Elephas maximus indicus: one gene and its partners. Each later gene encodes a partner of the first gene's protein in a complex. Links are inferred from orthologs where the notes say so. Each region holds a gene or a part of one and is shown in the gene's direction. Other genes may lie near its edges.

The links.
Region 2: the proteins of TGFB1 (region 1) and TGFBR1 are in contact, whole or in part, in a crystal structure (PDB 3KFD), measured with the Homo sapiens proteins. The link is inferred for Elephas maximus indicus from reciprocal best matches to the Homo sapiens genes TGFB1 and TGFBR1. Residues at the interface, in NP_000651.3 of Homo sapiens: Ala279, Leu280, Asp281, Asn283, Tyr284, Tyr328, Ile329, Trp330, Gln335, Lys338; in NP_004603.1 of Homo sapiens: His39, Leu40, Thr42, Lys43, Phe55, Asn68, Met70, Ile78, Phe84, Val85.
Region 3: the proteins of TGFB1 (region 1) and LRRC32 are in contact, whole or in part, in a cryo-EM structure (PDB 8VSC), measured with the Homo sapiens proteins. The link is inferred for Elephas maximus indicus from reciprocal best matches to the Homo sapiens genes TGFB1 and LRRC32. Residues at the interface, in NP_000651.3 of Homo sapiens: Leu30, Ser31, Thr32, Cys33, Lys34, Pro325, Pro327, Tyr328, Ile329, Trp330, Ser331, Leu332, Thr334, Gln335, Tyr336, Val339, Leu342, His346, Ala353, Pro354; in NP_001122394.1 of Homo sapiens: Ser135, Tyr137, Glu158, Ser160, Thr162, Val184, Met186, Asp187, Ile188, Glu189, Asp190, Phe193, Leu202, Leu204, Arg206, Asn207, Ser208, Leu209, Thr210, Cys211, Ile212, Ser213, Asp214, Phe215, Ser216, Leu217, Leu223, Leu225, Cys227, Ser229.

What each region holds. Positions count from the first base shown.
Region 1 is NC_064829.1:109,836,966-109,844,321, forward strand, and holds the start of TGFB1 (transforming growth factor beta-1 proprotein), read left to right. Parts: upstream 1-4,356; 5' UTR 4,357-4,362; coding exon 4,363-4,717; intron 4,718-7,356. Other genes in the region: B9D2 (B9 domain-containing protein 2), read left to right, coding at 2,150-2,463. UniProt on the Homo sapiens protein: Transforming growth factor beta-1 proprotein: Precursor of the Latency-associated peptide (LAP) and Transforming growth factor beta-1 (TGF-beta-1) chains, which constitute the regulatory and active subunit of TGF-beta-1, respectively.
Region 2 is NC_064827.1:48,995,648-49,002,642, forward strand, and holds the start of TGFBR1 (TGF-beta receptor type-1), read left to right. Parts: upstream 1-3,978; 5' UTR 3,979-4,066; coding exon 4,067-4,151; intron 4,152-6,995. UniProt on the Homo sapiens protein: Transmembrane serine/threonine kinase forming with the TGF-beta type II serine/threonine kinase receptor, TGFBR2, the non-promiscuous receptor for the TGF-beta cytokines TGFB1, TGFB2 and TGFB3.
Region 3 is NC_064825.1:45,847,949-45,854,809, forward strand, and holds the start of LRRC32 (transforming growth factor beta activator LRRC32), read left to right. Parts: upstream 1-3,844; 5' UTR 3,845-4,793; intron 4,794-6,861.

The sequences.
Region 1 (7,356 bases):
AACCACTGTGCCATCAGGGCTCCCTATATTAGATGATGCCAGGAAGATACCAGTGACTGAGATACCCACAGCCCTGTTCTCAGGGGCCCTACCATCCAGTGGAGGAGACAGACCTGTCCCCACACAGTGACAGCCCAAGTGGACAGGGCTGGGGTGGGGGGCCCCTGGGGCCTGGGAACCGAGAAGAGGTTCCTGACCCTGTCGGGGAGATCAGGGAGGACTTCCTGGAGGAGGGGACATTTGAGCTTTGATGTGAAGGGCTAGTAGGAGCTAGTGAGGCAAAGGACTGGAAGAGAGTTCCTAAGCAGAGGGGCATCTGAAGGACTGAGGGAGGGAGACTAGGAGGGCAGCAGGGAGTGAGGTGGTAGGGGACAGGCCATGCAGGGCCTTGAACACCAGGCTGAGGACCTGAGGCCATTTGAAGGCACTGGGGTGCCAGGGCAGGCGATGGACAAACTGTATTTTGCTTTTAAAAGATCTTCTGGCTGCCAAGTAAGCAATGAATTGGGAGGATGAGACAGGCAATTCTGTCCCCCAACGTTGGTCCCCTCCCTGGTTCACCCCCGGCTCCACCCCAGTCTGTTCCCCACAGGTAGCCAGCGGGACCCCGTGAACATCCAAATCAGATCACGTTCCTGCTCTGTCAGAGCCCTCCCTCCCCTGGTCCCCGTGCCACTCAGGGTAAAAGCCAAAGCCTTCCTATGTTGTCTTAGTTCTCTAGTGCTGCTAGAACAGAAATACCACAAGTGGGTGGCTTTAACACACAAATTTATTTTCTCACAGTTTAAGAAGCTAGAAGTCCAAATTCAAGGTGCCAACTCCAGGGGAAGGCTTTCTCTCTCTGTTGGCTCTGGGGGAATGTCCTTGTTTCTTCAGCTCATTTCCTGGTTCCAGAGAGATCTCCACATGGCTTCGCATCTCTCTTCCCCATCCCTGCTTGTTCTGCTTGCTCCTTTAATCTCTGTTATATTTCAGAAGAGATTGACTCAAGATACACCGTACACTAAACATGCCTCATTAACATAACAAAGACAAATGAGATTATAACCACAGGCATAGAGGCTAGGATTTACAACACATAGTTTTTGGGGGGACACACTTCATAAAACAGGGATTACAGGTCCCTGCACCATCTGGCTCTCACCCACTGCCCCTCTCTCCCCGGCACACTCCAGTCCAGCCCCACTGGCCCTACCAGGCACCCTCCAGCCTCAGGGCCTTTGCCTTAGCTATTCCTGCTGCTGGCCATGCTCTTCCACTAGATGTCCACATGGCCCCCTCGAAGCCTTTGCTAAAATGTCACCTCATTGAAGCCTTTCTGGACCACCCCTTTGTAAAACTGTATCCCCACCCCTACCCTACCCTGCTTAATTTTTCTCCAGAGCAGTTATCACCATCTGACATAGCCTGTAATTTACTTATTTACTATGTTTGCTGTCTAGGATGTCAGCTACTCAAGGGCAGGAATTTCTGTCTGCCTTACTCATGCTGGATCCCCAGCTCCTAGAACGGGGCCTGGCACAGAGGACGGGTTCTGAAGGGAGGGTGGGCCAGGGCCAGATCTCCAAGGGCCTCGGCCACCAGCCTGAGGAGCTGAGCAGTATTCTGAGGAAACCTATGGAAGGGGGAGAAAAGATGCTCGCGGTCACCAGGGGAAAGGGGGTTGGAGAAGACAAGACAGAAGGCCAGTCAGGGAGGAGTGCAGGGCGGGACCCCAGGGAGGGGAGGGGGAGGCATCCAGACAAGGCCCAAGGTGCTCATCTGAGGACTGGGGAAGCAGTGGGGCCACCCTGAGACGGGGACACGGAGGAGGAGGCCTCAGGGATGTCACAGAGGCCAGATCTGAAGGGTCTTGAGTGTCGAGGAAGTTAGACTTTATGCTGAGGATATTGGGGAGCCATGGAAGGGTTTTGAGCAGAGGAGGAACATGGATTTAGAGAGATCCCTCTGGCTGCTGTGTGGGGGTGGAGCAGGAGGTGGAAAACCAAGGAAGAGGCCTGGGAAGAACCAGGGGTGTGAAGGGAGGAGCAGGCTGGGGTCTCCATTGGGTATCAAGGGAAGGGGATTGAGGAGCAGGAGGCTGGACCATGAATATGCCAGGCGGGGCCTTGCCCATCCCCCCCTTTCCTTGCTCCCTCCGGTCCTACAGGCTGGCCCCGGCTCCATCTCCAGGTGTGGTCCCAGGACAGCTTTGGCCGCTGCCAGCTTGCTGGCTATGGCTTTTGCCACGTGCCCAGCAGCCCGGGCACCCACCAACTGGACTGCCCCACGTGGCGGCCCCTGGGCAGCTGGCGGGAGCAGCTGGCACGGGCCTTCGTGGGCGGTGGACCACAGCTGCTGCATGGGGACACCATCTACAGTGGAGCTGATCGCTACCGCCTGCACACGGCCGCCGGTGGCACCGTGCACCTCCAGCTCGGCGTGCTGCTGCGCCACTTCGACCGCTACGGCGTTGAATGCTGAGGGACTCTGCCTGCAACATCTGGCCCCCATCCACACTCTGGACACCTGATGAGGGGCAGGATGGTACAGTGGCCACGAGCATGGGATCTGGGGTCGGCAGGAACTGACTCCAGCCAAGGCATGGTGTGGCTGCTTCAAACCAGTGATTGTGCCTTTTGGCCCCAGTTTTCCCATCTGTAAAATGGGGACTGTGAGGGCGGGGTCATGGGAGCTTGGGAGAAAAGGCTGTGTAGCACATGGGAGGTGCACAATAAAGGAGAGCGATTCTTACAGGTGTATCTGCCTTCTTGACTTCATCTGACCTCTGCCCTGTGCTCCTTCCTTCCACTGACACCCTCCCTCCTCAGGGCCCACCTTTTGACAGGTCTGCTTCCCCCCTCCTCTGCCTCTCCACCTTCAATTCCTTCCTATTCTGGGTGCCTCTTCTTTGACCCCCCTTCCCACCCTGCTGTCTTTTGACCTCTTCTGCAGCCCTATCCTTTGACCCCTTTCCTGGGTACCTCTCCTCTGACCTCTCCTATGCCCCTATCCTCTGATCCCCTCTCCTAGACACCCCTGCTCTGACCTCCAATCCTGCACCCCTACGGTCTGACCCCTCTCGTCCTGGACATCCCTTCTCTGACTCACTCCCGTCCATCTTCTTTCTGACCCCCTCAGCCTCTGTCTCTTTCCCTGCTCTGGGTCACCTCTTTTCTGATCCCCTTTCCCCTGTGTCCCCATCTTTTGACTGAAGCTTCCCCGACAGGTCCTCGTTCTGTGACCCCGCACCCTAGTCGCTGCTTTTGTAGCGCTCGGCCGCCAGGAGGCAGCACCCTGTTCGTGGGGCGGAGCCGGGTGCTCGTCTCCTTCCCCCCAGGGCTGGAGGGACCCCCCTCGGAGCCCGCCCACGCGAGATGAGGATGGTGGCCCGGCCCCCCCATGCCTTCCCCCTGGGGGCCGCTCCCGCCCAGCGCGCTTCCTGGGTGGGGCCGGGGCGGCTTCAAAACTCCCCGCTGCCCCAGCCGGTCTCCGCCGCCGCAGCCTTTCGCTCCCAGGGCCGTACCCCTCCCTCCTCCCGCCGCGGATCCGCCAGACAGCGAGGCCCCCGGCCGGGGGGAGGGGGGACGCCCCCTCCCGGGCACACCCCCGGCTCTGAGCCGCCCGCGGGGCAGCCTCGGCCCGGAGCGGAGGAAGGAGCCGCCGAGGAGCAGCCCGAGGCCCCAGAGTCTGAGACGAGCCGCCGCCGCCCCCGCCGCCGCCGCCGCCACTGCGGGGAGGAGGAGCGGGAGGAGGGACGAGCTGGTTGGGAGAAGAGGAAAAAAAAGTTTTGAGACTTTTCCGCTGCCGCTGGGAGCCGGAGGCGAGGGGACCGCTTGGCGCGGCGCTGTCCCCCAGGAGTCAGGACTTGGGGACTCCGGACCCTCCCCCCGCCTCGGAAGCTCGCTCCCTCTCTGGCCCCCACTCGGCGTCCCCCAGGCGCCCCATTCCGGACCAGCCCTCAGGAGCCGCAAACCCGGACTCACACGAAGACTTTATCACCCCCAGACCTCGGGCGCACCCCCCTGCACGCCACCCTCTATTCCCAGCCTCTCTCCTAAACCCCGGAGCACCCGAGGACTCTTCTCCCCCAGGAGACGAGATCTCTCTCAGAACTGCCTCAGCTTCCCCATTCAAGGCCACCCACCCTCTGGTTTCAGATCTTGCCCATCTCGGTTTTTCACGTAGGATACCGAGGCACCCTCCCCCCGCCCCGTCAGAGCCTCCCTTCCACCCCTGCTCCCTTCTTCCTGAGGGCCTCAACTTTCCCCCCAGACCTTCCTACCTCCCCCTGGGAGACCCCAAGCCCCTGCAGGGGCGGGGCCTCCCCCAACCCCATCCCCGTTCGCGCGCTCGGCAGTGCCGGGGGGCGCCGCCTCCCCCATGCCGCCCTCCGGGCTGCGGCTGCTGCCGCTGCTGCTGCCGCTGCTACGGCTGCTAGTGCTGACGCCGGGCCGGCCGGCCGCGGGGCTGTCCACCTGCAAGACCATCGACATGGAGCTGGTGAAGCGGAAGCGCATCGAGGCCATCCGCGGCCAGATCCTATCCAAACTGCGCCTCGCCAGTCCCCCGAACCAGGGGGAGGTGCCGCCCGGCCCGCTGCCTGAGGCCGTGCTCGCCCTCTACAACAGTACCCGAGACCAAGTGGCCGGGGAGAGCGCCGAGCCGGAGCCCGAACCCGAGGCGGACTACTACGCCAAGGAGGTCACCCGCGTGCTAATGGTGGAAAGCAGTAACAGTGAGCTCCGAGGGGCAGGGGAGCCGGGAGGGGAGCCCCCAGGGGGCGCCGGAGTGCAGGGGTCAAGGGGAGGAAATGGGCCCCTGGGGGCACCGGGATCAAGGGAGGTTCCAAAGAAGGTGGGGCTGAGACCCTCGCAGGTACCAGGTCTTGAAGAGGAGGAGTTAGGGAGCCAAGTAGACTGCTTTCAGGGGGCATCAGGAACATGCGGGATTGTGAGGGGAGTCCCCTGGAGGGACAGAAGCAGTTGAGGTGGGGAAGACTAGACAAGAATGGCGGTTGTGGAGTGGGGGCTGCAGAAAGGAGAGTTCGGTTTGGGAGAAGCGAAGACCCCAGCTTTTGGGAAAGGAGAGGCACGAGGAAGTTGACCCAGAGCTCGGGGGTCGTTAGGTCGTTGGCCAGGAAGGTTAGGAAAGTGGGAGAATGGACCACTTCCAGAGGGCGCGAGGAACACATGGGATTGGGGAGGGGAGGTTCCCAGAGAGAAAAACAGGGAGAATGATAAATACCAGGAGAGAAGGACGCGGGGTCGTGGGGAGGAGGCTAGCCGGAGAGAAGCCGACGCCCCAGGGGGGTGCCGGAGATGTGCGGGAAGGTGTTGTGGGTGCTTCGCATTGGGAGGTGAGAAATAGAGGGTGGAGCCCAGCGGAGGAAGCGACCACCCAAGAAACCTAGCCTACAGGGCATGTGAAGAGGTTTACAGAGAAGGGAGACAGCGTGGGAAAGGTGGATGGAGGGGGGAGGGGAAGTAGTGCGAGCCCCTATATGCCGCGGGGTGGAAGGGAATGGGCTAAATGAGGAGTCTGGCCTTCTGAAAGAAAAAGGAGGGGTGGATGGGGACGACTCTGCAAGCGGGGAGTGAGAACACGGAGCTGGCGGGGTGAGAAAGCCCCACGTGGGCGCCACGCGCGGGGGGAGGAGCCCCGCTTCCGCAAGGGGGAAGGAGGACCCCGCGGAGTTAAAGGCTGGGAGTCAGGACCCCAAAGTCTCAGTTCCTCTCGTGGAGCCTGGGGAAACCCCAGCGTCCGGTCGCCTCACCCTCCCTTCCCGTGCCCCGAGGGCGAGGAGGGGGGGCCGGGGATCGCGCGCGGAGCCTGGGGCGAGACGAGACAGGTCTGGTCCCCGCCCTTGCCGCTGCGTCGTCGCCCGCCCTGCTCACCCCGTTGGGGGTGGAGCGACCGCTGGGCCCGCCCGTCCGCGCCCGCGCTGGGACCCTGGAGTCCCGGCGCCCCGCGTGGCCCAGAGGCTTGGGGGTGATCCCCCGGGGTTCACTTTTTCGCTAGAGCAGTAGACTTGCCGGTCCCCGGGCTGCTTGTGCGCCCAGTTTTCGGGTCCAGCCAAATAACACGCCCCTCATCTGGTTCTCTCTTCCTTTTCCGTCCTTCACCTTCGTTGTAGAGCTTTCACCGATACCCCCCTCCCGCCCCTGTTCTTTCTCTCTAGACTGTCTCTGTCTCTCCCCGAAGCCCGCGTGCCTCCCATCTGCCTGTACGCCTTTCCTATCCCCCCGTCCATCTCTTTTCCTGTCTGTGCCCTTCTTTCTGTCTCTTCAAATCTCCCTCATCCCATTACCATCCCACTCGTCTCTCTGTCCGGGTGTGGGTCTCTGGTTCCTGTCTCTCCTCTCTCTCTTCCTCTCCCCGTGTCTCCGCGGTTTCCCCATCTCTCCCTCCTCCTTGCAGCGCGCTGACCCTGCCTGTCCTTCCTTTCTTTCTCCCTATCTGTCTTGCCCAGCCCCGGCTTTCCCCTTCCCTTGGGGTGTGCTCAGTAACCGCTGGGCCAAGAGTAGGGTTTGTGTATGGGCGCAGGGCAGGGAGTGGTGAGGAATAGGGGGAGGGGGCTACAGGATGGGGTTTCCTCTGTCATTCCCCCTCAGAGCCTGTTTCCACCATCCCTCACCCCCACTATAGGAGACCCAAAGCAGTGGCTTCCAAGTTGATCCAGGAGTTTATGGTCTGCCTTCTCACCCCCACCCTTGAAATTTTCCTAGACTGGAAAATGGCCTTGTTAATTCTCTTCTTCCCCTGCAGCCATTCTTACCTAAGAATGTCATGAACTTCTCTAACCAGCTAAAGAGAGAGTTAAGGGAGGAAGCAATTAATAATAATAATAGTCATTGGCAGGGAGACAGCATAGCCTAGGGGATAAGAGCACCATTTGGGAACCGGAGGGCCTGAGTTTGAATCCCTCCCCTGCAGCTTCCTAGCTATGTGACCTTGGGGCAAATTGCTTCACTTTTGTGCCTCAGTTTCCCCATCTATAAAATGGCTATAATAGTATTTTCTTTGTAAGGTTTAACTATTTTAATGCTTGTAAAGTACTTTGAAAAGCGAGCGCTCTTTAACACACACATTATTGAGTGACTGCTGTATGTATGCAGGCTCTTGTGCTACATGTTTTCCCTGGATTGTCTCATTTATTTTGCACTGTGTTCTGCCATGGGTCCTCATTTTACAGACGAGGGTCTGCAGATCAGAGAGGGGAACTCTTTGGCCCAAGGTTACACAGCGCATCAGTAAGGAGAGTCTGGATTGGAAGGCAGGGAGATTGATGTTACGGTGATTTCCCAAAGAATAACAGGAAACCAAGGCCCAGAGAGGGGCTGTGACACAGTCTGGAGGCAGCAGAGGCATTGTCTG
Region 2 (6,995 bases), on another chromosome or scaffold:
CTGGACTCAGTCTGGTGGAGGCAGTGGTAGTTGTGGTCCATTAGTCCTTTGGACTAATCTTTCTCTTGCGTCCTTGGTTTTCTTCATTCTCCCTTGCTCCAGATGGGGAGGGACCAGTGCAGTTATCTTAGATGGCCACTCACAAGCTTTTAAGACCCCAAATGCTACTCGCTGAAGTAGGATGTAGAACATTTTCTTTATAAACTGCATTATGCCAATTGAGCTAGATGTCCCCTGAGACCACGGTCCCCAGCCCTCAGCCCAGTAATTCAGTCCCTCAGGGATAAAACTCCTGTTCTTGGGAAAACAATGTTAAGAAAATAACAGACTGAGCAAAAACATTTGCAATACATATATCCAGCAAAAGACTCATATACGGGTTATATAGATATATATTAGGAAATCCTGGTGGCATAGTGGTTAAGTGCTATGGCTGATAACCAAAGGGTCGGCATTTCGAATCCACCAGGTGCTCCTTGGAAACTCTATGGGGCAGTTCTACTCTGTCCTATAGGGTCGCTATGAGTTGGAATCGACTTGACGGTACTGGGGTGGGTTTGGGTTATAGATATATATTACAAATCGTTAATAAAAAGACTTGGGCAAAAGACTTGGACAGATACTTAAAAAAAAGTTGATGTCCACAAGGACCCATTATCTCTCCATCTTTCTTTTCTACCTTCCATCTCCATTTATGGCCATCATCCTTATGTTCACAAGATGGCTACTGTAACTCCAGGCATTAAAACTGTGTCGCAGGCAGAAATAGGAAGGAAAGAATGTGATGAATCTGTCTCTTTATGAGAAAAACCACATCTTTCCCACAAGCTCCACTTGACAGATTTTGTTTATATTTCTCTGACTACAACTCAGTCACATGGCCATACCTAGCTGCAAGGAAGCCTGGAAAATTGAGGTTTTTTTTTTTTTTTTTTTTTAGCTAGGTGGATTTCTTTAGCAAAGTAAATCAGGGTTCTGTTATAAAGCATATGGGGAAATGGACGTAAGTTAGGCAACTAGGAGTCTCCGTGCTCTATACGGGGGTAAATATGAAAACAGAAGGAAAAGCAAACACAATGTACTCAGCATAAAGAATGAGAAGTAGTATTGTGCAGGGAACAAAGCACTGCAGTGAGTCTCCTAGTCCTGGCTCTGCACCAGACTTGCTGGGGAACTGGTTTTCGGGTTCTTCCCCTGTAAGTTAGACATTGGAGTAGATAACCTACAAGCCTATAGAACCTATTATGGGAATTAGGTTTTATGATAAATTGCTTATGTTCAAGAGCTCATTTAGATATCATAACAAATATATGAGTAGGAACAATATGTGAATATTATTCCATTTTGCACTGGAGCTTGCTAAATCTCAGAGCATCTACATTGGTGCACAGATCTAGTAAGTGGCAGAGCCAGAATTCCAACTAAAGTCTGCAGGCCCCCAAAGTCAAAGGCTTCTTTCCACTGTTCATCTTTTCTCCAAAGGTGGAACAAGCTCATTCATTTTAATTTACTGAATTTTAAGGTTATACTTTCTAAACCACTTTCAAAATGTAGCATGGCAGCCACCTGCAGCAGAATTACCTGGGGTGCTTTTTGCAAATGCAAATTTATGGGCCCCCTCTAAGTCAACTGAAGCCAGACTCTGGGGGCTAGACCCCTGGGATCTTCATTTTTAAAAGCTTCCCAGGTAATCTGGAGACACTTTAAGGTCTCACAACCACCATTTTAAAGTTACAATTTATTGGTCTATTCCAATGTAGTTTATTTGTGGATCCGTGGCTCATGGAAATTTCCTCCAAATATCAGGAAAATAAAATTTAAAAATACTCTGTTCCTCCTTCCTCTTCCTCAGTTTTCTATTGAACGCAGTCAGTTCCATGGAAAATGTTAAGGAACTGGAGGTGTGTCATGGAAGATATCTTAACATGGATTGACTGAGGCTCTGTAAAGCAAAGGCACAGATTAATATGAACATAAATGTTGGATAGAATCATACAGAGCTGGAAGGGGGATATGCAAAGGAAATGGCATTAACTAAATATTTACTATGTTCCAGACACTGTTCCAGACACAGCGCATCATTTAGGGAATCCAAGACATATGATTCAATCCCTTTTTATTTACAAATGGGGTAGGCATTACAGCACGGTTATCTCTACTTTACAGAGGAGGAACCTAAAGTTCAGAGAACAGTCACTTTTCAAAGGCGAATCGTTCGTTCGTTTGTACAATAAATATCTCTTGAGAGCTCTTATTTTATGCAAGACATTGAGAATAAAGCATCGAAAAGACAGTCCAGAGACCTTGTGTGTCACGGGGCCCTGGTTTACCCAAGTTTCCATTGAGGACTGAGAGAGCAGACTGGGGCTGGAGCCTGCCAACAGCAGCATCTCTGCCTGCCAGCAGCCAGGAGGAGTAGAGCTTGTGGCTGGTGGTCCAGAGCTCCACCGGGAAGTTTCCACGGCTCAGTGAATACCATGCCTTTACCTTTCTGGGCGGTGGGGAGTAGGCAGGGGCCTGAAGGGAGTACTTTGAAATGGAACTTAAAAGGGGCTAAGGGAACCCCAAAATCTCATCATAGTCTTTCAGTAACCTTGGGAGGCAGATATTATTTCCGATTTATAGAAGAAGAAGCTGAGGCTCAGAAAGGCTAAGTGTTCTCATCAGGAGTGACTAGAGCAGGTCTCAGATTCTAGTCCAATGCCCCCAGCCCTCGCACTTGACAGCTCACTGAAAAAAAAAGTCTAAATAGGTGGGTAAAAGGCTCAGCCAATAGCGCTAAAGTAGTTTACTTGAGGTTGGGTATGAGTCTTTCAACCAACATTTATTTAATTCCAAGTTCAAATCACACAGAAAATAGAACTGTTTTCTCCTTAAAAGGTTCTGCGGAAGAATGTTCTCTGTTCTATGTAACAGCCTCCTTGGCTGTGTTTGTGTCTGAAGAAAGGATCAGTCTGACAGGAAGAATTATAAATCTGGAGCTCATTTCGGTGTCCCAGCGGGAAGGTGGGTGGAGCGCCTCACAGTAAATTAGGAATTCAGAATGAAAACGTAGTTGAGTTTATCTGGGTTTTCAGTGACACCTCAGAATTATTGTATGGGCGTGTCAGACAGCTCAAGGTAATGCCTGCTTCTCCTACGCCCCGTGGGAGCGGGTGCTGAGAAGGGGAATCCTCCTCCTTTGGTGGGGTGGGGGCTTCCCTTTCCAACCTGGATCAGGAAGGGAGAACGGGGAAGACGAATAGTTTGAAGGCCTGAGTCTTCTCTGAGTTCTGGAGGGAGGCTATTGGGGGGTGTGTCTGAGCTCAGGATCTGGGTCCGAGGCTGGGCTCTGAGACTAGGATTTGGGAATTTTCTGAGCCTGGAACTTGGGCTAGAGCAGGAGTAAACAGGAGACTGAGTCGTAAAGGAAGGGCACCGAGAAAGGGTTTTGAGGGGGCAGATGTTGAAAGTTGAAGCGCGGACCTGGGGACGGAGAGTTGAAGCCTGAGGACACTGCGGATCTGGGCAGAATGTGTTGGGGTTGGGGTGGAGGTCAGTGCCAGGTCGTTGGTGTCTAGAGGAAGCTAAAAGACAGTCGAGGGGCCACAGCCTTTTTCCGACGACTCACAGACAGACCCGTCTCTCAGCCTTCGCCCATCCGGGACAAGAGACGCCCTCGCACCGGGGCTGGCGAGACCCTGCCCCCACCCGGCCGCCTCCGAGCCCGGAGCAGCGCGGGCTGGGCTTGGGGTCTGGGCGCCCTGCGCAGGGGGAGTGCTGGGGGCGTGGTCGGCGGCCGTGCCCCGCAGCTCGGGATTGGCTGCCACTTGGGCCCGTGGGCGGGGCTCCCGGCTGGGTTTCGCTGGGCGGTTCGCAGACGGCGGAGAGGCGGGGCCGGCGGGAGCCTGGCAGCCAATGGACTCGCGGCTCCGGAGCAGTTACAAAGGGCTGAAGCGAGGCCGCGGCGGTGGCGGCGGCGGCGGCAGCGGCGGCGGCGGCAGGGGAGGTGGGGCGAGGCGAGGCTTGCTGAGGCGAGGCGGCGGCCGGGCCGGGCCGGGCCACAGGCGGCGGCGGCGGCGGGACCATGGAGGCAGCGGCTGCTGCTCCGCGTCCCGGGCTGCTCCTCCTCGTGCTAGCTGCGGCGGCGACGCTGGTCCCAGGGACGACGGGTGAGTGGCGGCGCGGCCGGGTTGGCGGGCGGCTGGCGGGCGCGCAGGCAGGGCCCGGCCTCTGGCTCGCTCCTTCTCTTTCTCAAACATGGCGCGGGCCGGGGGCGCAGGTGGCGGCGCCGGGGCCGGGACTTGGGCGCGTGTTGGGCTCCCTGGCCCGGCGCGGCCAGGCCCCCGCCACGGAACCGCAGGCGCGGTGGGGAGGCTGGACGGGGGCGTGTGTCCGAGCGCGGGTGGACGCCCGGCAGCCCGAGGCCGCCCCACTTGGCGCTCCCCCGGAGAGGTGGCGTCGGGCGGAGCCGTCCGAGGCCGGGGGCTGCGCTCTGGGGTGTGAGTGAGTGAGGGCCCAGGACTGAGGGTGCGAGGGTGGCCCGGGCGAGCAGAGCAGGGCCTTCCGCTGACCTCCGCCGAGGGAACTGTGAAGCCTTGTCCCTGGTATCCCCACCCCAAGCGAGTCGGTGCCTGAGGCCCCAGGGGTCCGGGGCGGGGTTGGGGTCCAAAGAAGCTTCCCAGGCAGAGTGTGAGCTCTGAGCCTTCAGGCTTCCCCGGGCGGTGAGAGGGGGCTACCTGTGGCTGAGACCCCCGGGTCATTAGGGTTGCCCCCAGCTTTGGCCCCGGCCCGGTCCTGCTCAGAGAGGCTGCTTCCACAGCCTGGGGTGCCTTTGGCGAGGGAGCTGCGAAGCTTTGTGTGGAAGGAGGCGGACGAAGATGTGCGGAATGTTTCTTCTTTCGTGCGTCTGGAAAGTGTTGAAGCGAATCCAGTAACCAGACGGCTACGGATTGTTTTCATAGTAAAAAATGGAACGTTTGCTCACTCTGCGGGGTTTGGAATGTTTGAATGAGAATTACTCTGTGAATTTATCAAAAGCTTTTATTTCCTCGAAGAAGAATGCTAGTGATCTTTCTTTTCCCCAGTGACAGTAGTTTGAATCAGTCATCTGCATAGCTGGTTTTCAAGGGAAAATGCTTGCTTGGTTTTCCAAAATACTCAATCAGGATGGGGTAGGTGGTTATCTACCCAAATGGAGTACAGGGTGAAAAACTTCGTGTTACAAACCAAATGACAATACTAGAAGCTAAAATATGGACCTAGTTTTAGCAACTGAAATATAGTAAAAGTACATTCCTATTTCTGAAATCGGACACCCTGTATAAAAAACAAAAGACTCAACCCAAGGCTGAGGGTGTCAATTATTAGTCTGAATAGCTACTGTGTTTTAAGAGCTTACTATGATGTAGGTGCATAAAGTACACTAAAGTACTTCAGCTAATCCTCACAACTAAATCTTCAAGGCTAGTGGCATTTGCCCCCGTTTTATAGATGAGAAAACTGAGGCGAGAGGTTAAGTACTCATTTACTAAGTGCTACAGTTAGGATTTGCATCTTTGCATCCAGGGCTCTGTTTCCAAAGCCTGTACACCTTATATATGCCAGACTGTCTTACCCGGCCCATTTTTCTTGTTCAGTCATCTGATAGTGATTGATCTTTATTATTCACTTTTAGATTTTGGCTTCAAAATTTGAATACCAGGTTGCCTTCTTTCTAACTGCCAGCACATTCCTGAGTCCCTTCACACTGAAACTACAAGAAAAAACAATGGATTTTTGATACTGGCCTCGGGGAGAGGAGATAATTGTGTGGACCTGTGGTAGAATCAGCATAGTTATACATCAAACAGAAATGACATTTCCACATCACTATTAACTTGAATAACGTAATTCACTCTTTTCCAGTTATTGTAGGACAGAATATTCATGTATTCAGGTAACAGTATTAGACTTAATTGGCTGTACAGAACATTGCTCAACCCAAGCCCTGAAGGAGTTTACAGAATACATTGGCATGCATACGATAGAAAGCTGATCCAGATGCTTATTACTCCAAGCCCAGACTACGTCAACTAGTCTGCCTGCCCTGATTGCTCATATTGATGTTTCAGTTCATCCTTTTTGTACATACGGAAGAAGCTAAGCTCAGAAGCTTTTTTTTCTTTATAATTGCCTTCCTTATTCAAGAACTTGTAGTTCTTTATCGGCTGGCTGTTAATTTTATATTTCTCTGCCTGGCTTCTGCTTTCTACAGCATAGATTTCTCTAGGGAAAATGGTTTCCTATCCCTAGTGCAGAGTTTCATACCACTATGTTTACATATATATCCCATTTGAGAATGCAGGTTCTTTTCTGCCATTTCATAACTTTTTTTTCTTTGAAAACATGCCTAAAACCCAACTCTTTTTTTTTATTAATGCCTCTTAAGTATGCCTCTTTGTATGCAGCCAGCTGCCCGTTATCCCTCGAATCTAGTTGCTTTCCATTGTTTCTCTCATCTGGTCTTTTCTACAGGCTGCTGCCAAACTAATCTTCCTCAGTGATCCCCAGGAAGGGTTTACAAGACTTCCTATTTGTATTCAGCCATTAGAGCATATACTTGAGACCCATGATTAGAACCATCTCTGAGTATCAGACCAGAGAATCTCACCCTTTCACTAGTGCAAACCCTCAGTTCCAGCGATTTCTCTTTTCCCCCTGACTCCTGACTGCTCAGTCTTTCCACTGCATAATTAATTTTGTCCCCTTTTGGGGGTGGAGCCCTGGTGGGCAGTGGTTAAAAGCTCAGCTGCTCACCAGAAAGGTTGGCAGTTCTGATTGGTTGGTACCCTAGCGATGCCAGTTGTTACATATTTTTACTGTCACCCATAGAGGCTTCAGTATTCAAAGAGGAAAATGATTAGTACAGACTGAAGTGATTGCGGAAGGCTTCCTGGACACTTTAGGACTTAAGCTGTTTTTGAAGGGTGGCTAGAATTCAGATGGGCAGAGACAGGGATTTGATGAGTGTTAGG
Region 3 (6,861 bases), on another chromosome or scaffold:
GGGGCCTCCAGGAGCCTCTAGGCCTCTCAGCCCCTGCTCTCACTGACCAGAATCAGAGCCAGGAGCCTCCTGTGCGGTGGCCGAGGGCTACATGAGGCCTCACCAGCACATGCTTCTCTATCTTGGTCACTCCAAGTGCCTCAGTGATGAGTGACTCGCACTCACTGAGAACAGAAAACCAGCCAAGCAAGTCTCTGGACACACATGAGGGCCTTGGGGTCTGAGGACTAGGATGAGAATGTCGGTTAGCTGTGTGACTATGGGCAAGCCCCAGGATCCCTCTGAACTTCAGTCCCTCTTCTATAAAACAGGGGCAATGACAGTCCTCCCCTGGTTGGATGGCTGTGAGGAGGAGCTAGCTCAAGTAGAATGCGTGGCACCAGGCCTGGTCCTGCAAGCCCTCATTCCCATTAAACAGATCAGCTATTCCTCAGAGTGCGGGACAATCACAGTGTCTATAAACATTTGTTTCCCCAAGCATCTGATGGCTTTTGGCTCACACTCCCTAAAGCTGACACCAGCAACATTTCTTTCCCTCTCCTATTGTCCTTCCGGGAGGTGGCCTATAGCTAGTTTGGCCTAAGTCCAGCTGCCCTAGGGAGTCAGGGGAAGGTGGGCAGGGGAAGAAATGGGGAACCCAAGGTTCTGCCCCAGAAGGCAGGGCCCCAATAGGGGCTGATAAGGGAACTCCCTGACTCCCAAGGGCCCACATGAGTACTGAGCAGGGGTACGGGGTGAGAAAGGCCATACCTTTGCACCAGGATCTGGCCCAGGAGGCAGGAGACTTGGGTTCAATTATTAGCTCCAAAGCTGTGTGACATGGGCCAGTTACTTAACCTCTCTGAACCTCAATTTCCTTGTAGTCACTGAAAGTAAAGACAACTAACCAGAAGTTTTCTGTGGCTGTCTTTACCTGATTTGCCACATGAGATGAAGGGTTGGCCCAGAGTCGGTGTTCGGCAAAGAGCAATAGAAACTGAATAGGGGATCTAGGGCACCATGGTCCTTCTGACTTCAGATCTACAGCTAGATGAGGACAGCAAGGCTCAGAGAGGTTGAGTAACTTGTCCAAGGCCACACAGGACATGTCCATCATTGCCTTCCGGGGCCACCTGCTCCTATGTGGGACCCTTGGCTTCATGCTGGCCTGAGCTAAAACATTGCCGGGGAGACTTAAGACCTGACTTGGATCAGTTGGTGCCTGAGAGGGTTTTCACATCTCTGAAACAGATGTGCCTCCTATCTTCACTGGCAGAGAGGAAGCATTTTGACAAAGACACCAACACTGTGAAGTCTGAACTGTCCCTGGGTGGCATGTCCAGAACTCCCTACTCCTGGAGGTATGCAAGCGGGGGCTGAGCAACACTGGGTAGAAACTTGGCCTTCCTGGCCTTTAAAGAGTGCCCCCTTCCACAACGGGTTACCAAGTAAATCCAGCCTTGCTCATTCCCACCTACCCCCTCCTCCTTCAGAGCTGCAGACTCGATCTCAGTCTTGCAGACTTTGCCTTCGAGTCCCCTAGGCACTAGTCATCCTCTGTGTTCTCATCTGCCTCCCCTCTGGTCTGGGAGCTCCACAAGGGCAGGCACTGGACATTTTCATTCACCAGCTACCCAGGGGCCCCCAGGAAAGGAGGTCATGGTTACTGAGCAAGTACCAGGGGCCAGGCTTCTGACCAGGTACTTTAAACATGTTGTGGTTGCATTGATCTTCACAACAAGCCAGGACCTTAGGTGCTATTATCATTTTCACTTTGCAGATGAGAAAACTGAGGTCAGAAAGGTCACACAACCTGCCAAAAGTCACACAGCAACAAGACTGCTGAAGAAGTGAAGTGATAAAAGAATGGGTGCCGAGCATGTGGGGTTCCCGGCTTTTAGGGCCCCTAGTCCCAAGAGGTATCTGCAGTGGGTGGGCACACTTGGTTGCCCACCTGTTTCCAACTCCTGGGGAGCCCCATCCGGGCAATGAGTGAGGTGAAACCCCATGATCTAACTAACCACAACCACAGCCTTTGGTGTGGGGGGTATGCAAGGTGGGCCACTCACCTCCAGCCTGACAGAGCTCCAGCCCTGCCCTGCCCCAGCCTCAGCAAAGCTCTGGGCCAGCAGTTTCTACTTGGCGGCAGCTCCAGGAAGGAAAGGGTGAGGTGGCACTCAGCCGGCCTGGGCCTGGAGCAGGGTGGGGCAGACGAGCCCAGGAACTGCCTGAATCCAACTCAGTCATGTTCTACCTGAGCTGAAGGGCTGCTGCAAGGCACTTCCCTGGATATTTGTCCCCTTGGACAAGGACATGGGTGCAGGCCCCAGGCTCACCCCATTACACTTCGTTCTGGCACCAACCTGAGAAGTGGCAACTATCTTCTCCACTTGAAGGACAGGCAAACTGAGGTTCCCTTTGATCAGATGGAGCACCAGGGCCCAAAGGGGGCTTGGTTTGGGTCAGCTGGAATGACCCCTATGAGCAGAGTACTGCGACTTCCTGTGACTGGGAGGAAAGCGGCAGGTCTGGGTACCCTTCCCAGATCCTGCCCTGGTCCCTCACCTGTAACCTCCTACCCACCCCCTCATCGCAGCTTCGGCCCTCTCCTTAGGGAAGCCTTCCCTGATTTCCTCTTCTGAGGTTGGTCAGGACCCCAGGCCACCTGCTGTCACCTCTTGTCTTCGCTGGGCTGTCCCCATCTTCCCAGATTAGTCTCCACATAGACCAGACGGCAGAAAGGAAAGGTAGCAGCCATCTAGACTTCAAGGAGCCCTGGTGGCAGAGTGGTTGAATGCTCAGCCGCTAATTGAAAGGTTGGCTCCATGGGAGAAAATATGGCAGTCTGCTTCCATAAAGATTACAGCCTTGGAAACCCTAAGGGACAGTTCTACTCTGTCATATAGGGTTGCTAAGAGTTGGAATCAACTCCACGGCAATGGGTTATCTAGACTTCAGGGAACCTGGCTTTTAATTCTAGCCTTACTCCGATTTGCCGCAAGGCTTGGGTGGTCACTTTCCCACCTGGAAAATGGGGACACCCACTCTCAGGGCTGGTGACCATCAGGGAAGAAAAGGATTGCAGAAGATGAAGTTTCTACCCTAAGAACCAGGGCCTGGGGGACAGCAGTGATTCCTCCCCCAGGCACCCCCCTCCTTGGACCCACATCCAACAGTACCTGTAATTTGGTAGGGCCAAGGCATTTAGAAGAAAGATGGTTTGGGGGAAGATTTTCTTCAACCTCTGATGAAGAAGGCAATAATAATACCCACCCCCTCCCCCCCGCCCCCCCGCCCCCCGCCGCCCCACACACAAATTTCCACAGCACTTAAAAAAAAAAAAAAAAAAAACCCAGGCCAGACGGTGCCTGGAAAAGACACCCAAACTGACCTGGACTCAGCTTTGTGGACACACTGGGTTTGAAGCCTTGCTTCTTACAGGCGGTGTGATTTTCAATATGCCATTTAACCTTTCTTACTGAGTTTCCTCAACTATAAATGGAGACCTTAAAAGTCCCAGAGACTTTTGGTTTTTATTTCTCTATTCACTGCCGCCACCCTTAGCCTCAGTTTCTCCATCTGAAAACTGGGGACTTTGACGGTACTGCTTTACAGGGTCTGTTAGGGGCCCAGGAGACGATGGCGGAGGGCGCATCTTGACACTAGAGACGGCGCAGAGAGGGGCAGCGGCCTGCCGGGACTCAGCAGCAGGGACCCGAGCGTCGCTGTGCGGGGAAGCCCCTCCAGGGCCGCCTCAGGGCCAGTGAGGGGTCATTTCCTTCCGCGTTCAGCCACACCGCCACCTCTCCTGGTGGCCCCCCTTCAGTGCGGTGGCGCCGGCAGCGGGGAAGTCGGGGCCAGGCCGGATTTCCTCTGCGGACCTGCGGCTCCTGGAGCCACCCGCCCCTCCAGACCCCGCGGGGCGCCGAACTGCACGTGCAGCCGCCCGGGGCCGGGCTCGCTCCTGCGGCGCTTCCTTTCCACCCCTCTCTCTCTCCCTGGCCCTTTCATCCCGCCCCCTGCGCCCCTTCCCAGCCCGGCTTCCCGCGTAAAGAAGATGCTTCAGCCCATCTGCCAGTTCCGGATAAACCGAGTCCCACGGGGGCGCGCGACCGGCGCTAGGACCCCGCGGCCTCGCCGAGGGGGGCGTGGTGGGGCGGGTCGGCGGGAGAGGCTTTTAAATTGAATCCGCGGCCGCCCCCTCGCGGGTCCCGCTCCCTGGGGCAACGGAGCGGCGGTGCGCCTCCTCCGGCCGTGACCTCGGGGTCTGGCGCAGGGTGGGACCGGGGGACAGGTTTGCGCAAAATGTTCCGGGACCGCCGAGGAGAGGAGCGGCGGCCGCGCTGAGCCAGGTAGGAGCCGCCCAGGGGGCGAGGCTGGCTGACCTCCTCGGGGAACAGACGGCCCGTGCCCCTCGAGCGTACGAGGGCTCGAAGCTGGAGTGGGGCCACCCTGGGAAGAATCAGGACCCCCTGCCCAACACTTCCCTCCCACTCTCGTCGGGGTTGACACTCCCTCAGCCCCGAGAGGTCTCCAAGGCGGCTGTCTCATTGGATCTTTCAGGCAAAGGGGCGAGTTCGCTGTTCCTATTTGACAGATGGGCAAACTATGGCGGAAAGGCCGAGACTTGCCCAGGAACAAACAGCTAGTGAAGGGCAGATCAGAATTTGATTCCAGGTCTCCTGCCACCCTCTGACCCAGGCCCGGGCACAGGGCTTCCCATCCCACACCCCCAGACAGCCTGCCATCTCTCAGGAGGAAGGAGGAGTTTCCCACCTCTGCCAGGCCTCTGAAGGCAGCCTTCTCCATGGGTGGTAAGATGTGAGGGACCCCTACCTCCACTCCAAGCTGCCTGAAATTCCACCATCCCAGCCACATTCCTTTGGGTTAAGGTCTAATTCCCCCGTGGGATGCACATATCTCCAGAATGGGACTTGCCCTTCGTGATTCACGCTTGGTGTGAACGGTCCACATCAGCTCTCCCAGAAACCCTGCTCTGCCAGTAAGTTCCATCGGGGCTGAGAGGAGGGAGAGGAAGCATCCCAGAGCCCAGCAGTGTGAGAATGTCTGTGTGTGTACTGGTGGGGGATCGTAGGCGGGGAGGGGAGGGAGTTTGGGAGAAACATCTTGGGCTCGTGGAGTGGAAACACTGAGAGAGAGTGGCCCTTATGGAGCCCTGGTGGTGCAGTGGCTAAGTGCTAGTTGGCTAACCAAAAGGTCAGCAGTTAGAATCCACCAGCCACTTCTTGTAAACTCTATGGGGCAGTTCTACTCTGTCCTATAGGGTCGCTATGAGTTGGAGTGGACTCAACAGCAATGGGTTAAGGGTGTCTTAGGTGCGGCTGAGGGGCCCTTTCCATCAGGTGCCAGGGCAGAATTCCTGCATGCTGCAGGGCAGCCCCTTCAGGGCTCAGAGAAGCTCACTTTGGGGTGGCTTGGGGTGGGGTTTGGCAGGCAGAGGAGAGAACATAAGGGCCCTTTGGGCGACTTCTGCCTCCAGGCTCAGAACTAAACCACTTGGTCCATCCTTGTTGTCACCTCCCACTCACCACTCAGCCCACTGCAGTCAAGTGTCTGCCCCCACTTTGCCACTCATTCAGTAGACCCTTAGTGAGCGCCTGTGTAGTAAGTTCCTGTTCTCATGGCATAAGAAATAAATTATCAGGTAGTGATAAAGGCTAGGAAAACAATGAAATATGTGAAGATCTGGGGAAGAGCATTCCAGACTGAGGGGTCAGCAAGGGCAAAGGCCCTGAGGCCGGATCAAAGGCTGGGCCTTGGCGAGGGCCGAGAAAATGGTAGATGCAGTCAGAGAGAGTTTTGGGCACAGTCTGTTATTTTAAGGGAGATGGGAAACCATGGAGGTTTTTAAGCAGTTAAAGATTCATGATCTGATATGTGATTTTATGATTTTAAAATATCACTCTGGCTGCTACGTATAGAACAGATTGTAAGCCTCAGGGCGGAAGCAGGGGAACAAACTGGGGAGGCTGGTGCTGTGATGGAGGCCCAGGATCCTGGTGGTGCCTCAGCCTGTGGCGGTGATGCAGGAGGGAGTCGGCAGGTCTGGGAGCTGTTTTGCAGGGAGAGCAGACAGACTCTGCCGATGGGGAGAGGGAATGTGGTAGGGAGGTGAAGGGAGAGTCAAGGAGAATAACTGCTCTTGCCAGTGTCACCCTATCACCGAGACACTCCTATCCCTGCCTGCCCCAGATGGGTCCCAGAGAACAGTGAGCACCCCATGCCCTATAGGCAGTTCCCCTAGGGGGAAGGTGCTGTGCTCACTGGAAGCTCAGGGGCTGCCGGAGCCATATGTAGCCCAGACTTGGAGAACCAGGTAAGGCTTCTTGAAGGAAGCTGAGACCTGAAGGGTGAGGAGAGGAGAGGAAGTGAAGGTTTGGGGCAGTGGAAAGGTGCTCAGAGAGCTGACGGAAGTACAAGGCATCCAGAAGTCAGAGTGGGAGAGAGGGCCGTGAGAAACAAGGCTGGAGGGGGCTGCTGGCTGGGCAGGGCATGCTTCTGAGGACCTCGAAGGCCCCCACAGAGGGATTTTCACTCAATTCTGAGGCAACTAGCTTTCAAACGGGTTGTGTTGTTCAGCTTTTTAAACAGCAGAACAAAATCTCGTGAGAAAGCCCAACTTGTAAAACCTGAGCATAGAGCAGCTGTGGGGGCCTGAGGGAAGCCCAGGGAACAAGGTTTAAAGGACACCGTGGTGGCCCTTGGTGTCTGAGCAAGAAAGGGCCTCAGAGCAGCCTCCTGCATTTGAAATTCATCCTCATGGAATTTGTCTGACAGTCAAAGACACAGCCTCCAGAGGCCCTGTCAATGCTTCTTCAAAAGCATCCTTCAGACTCTCTGAGAAAAAAGGAGATCTTGCCT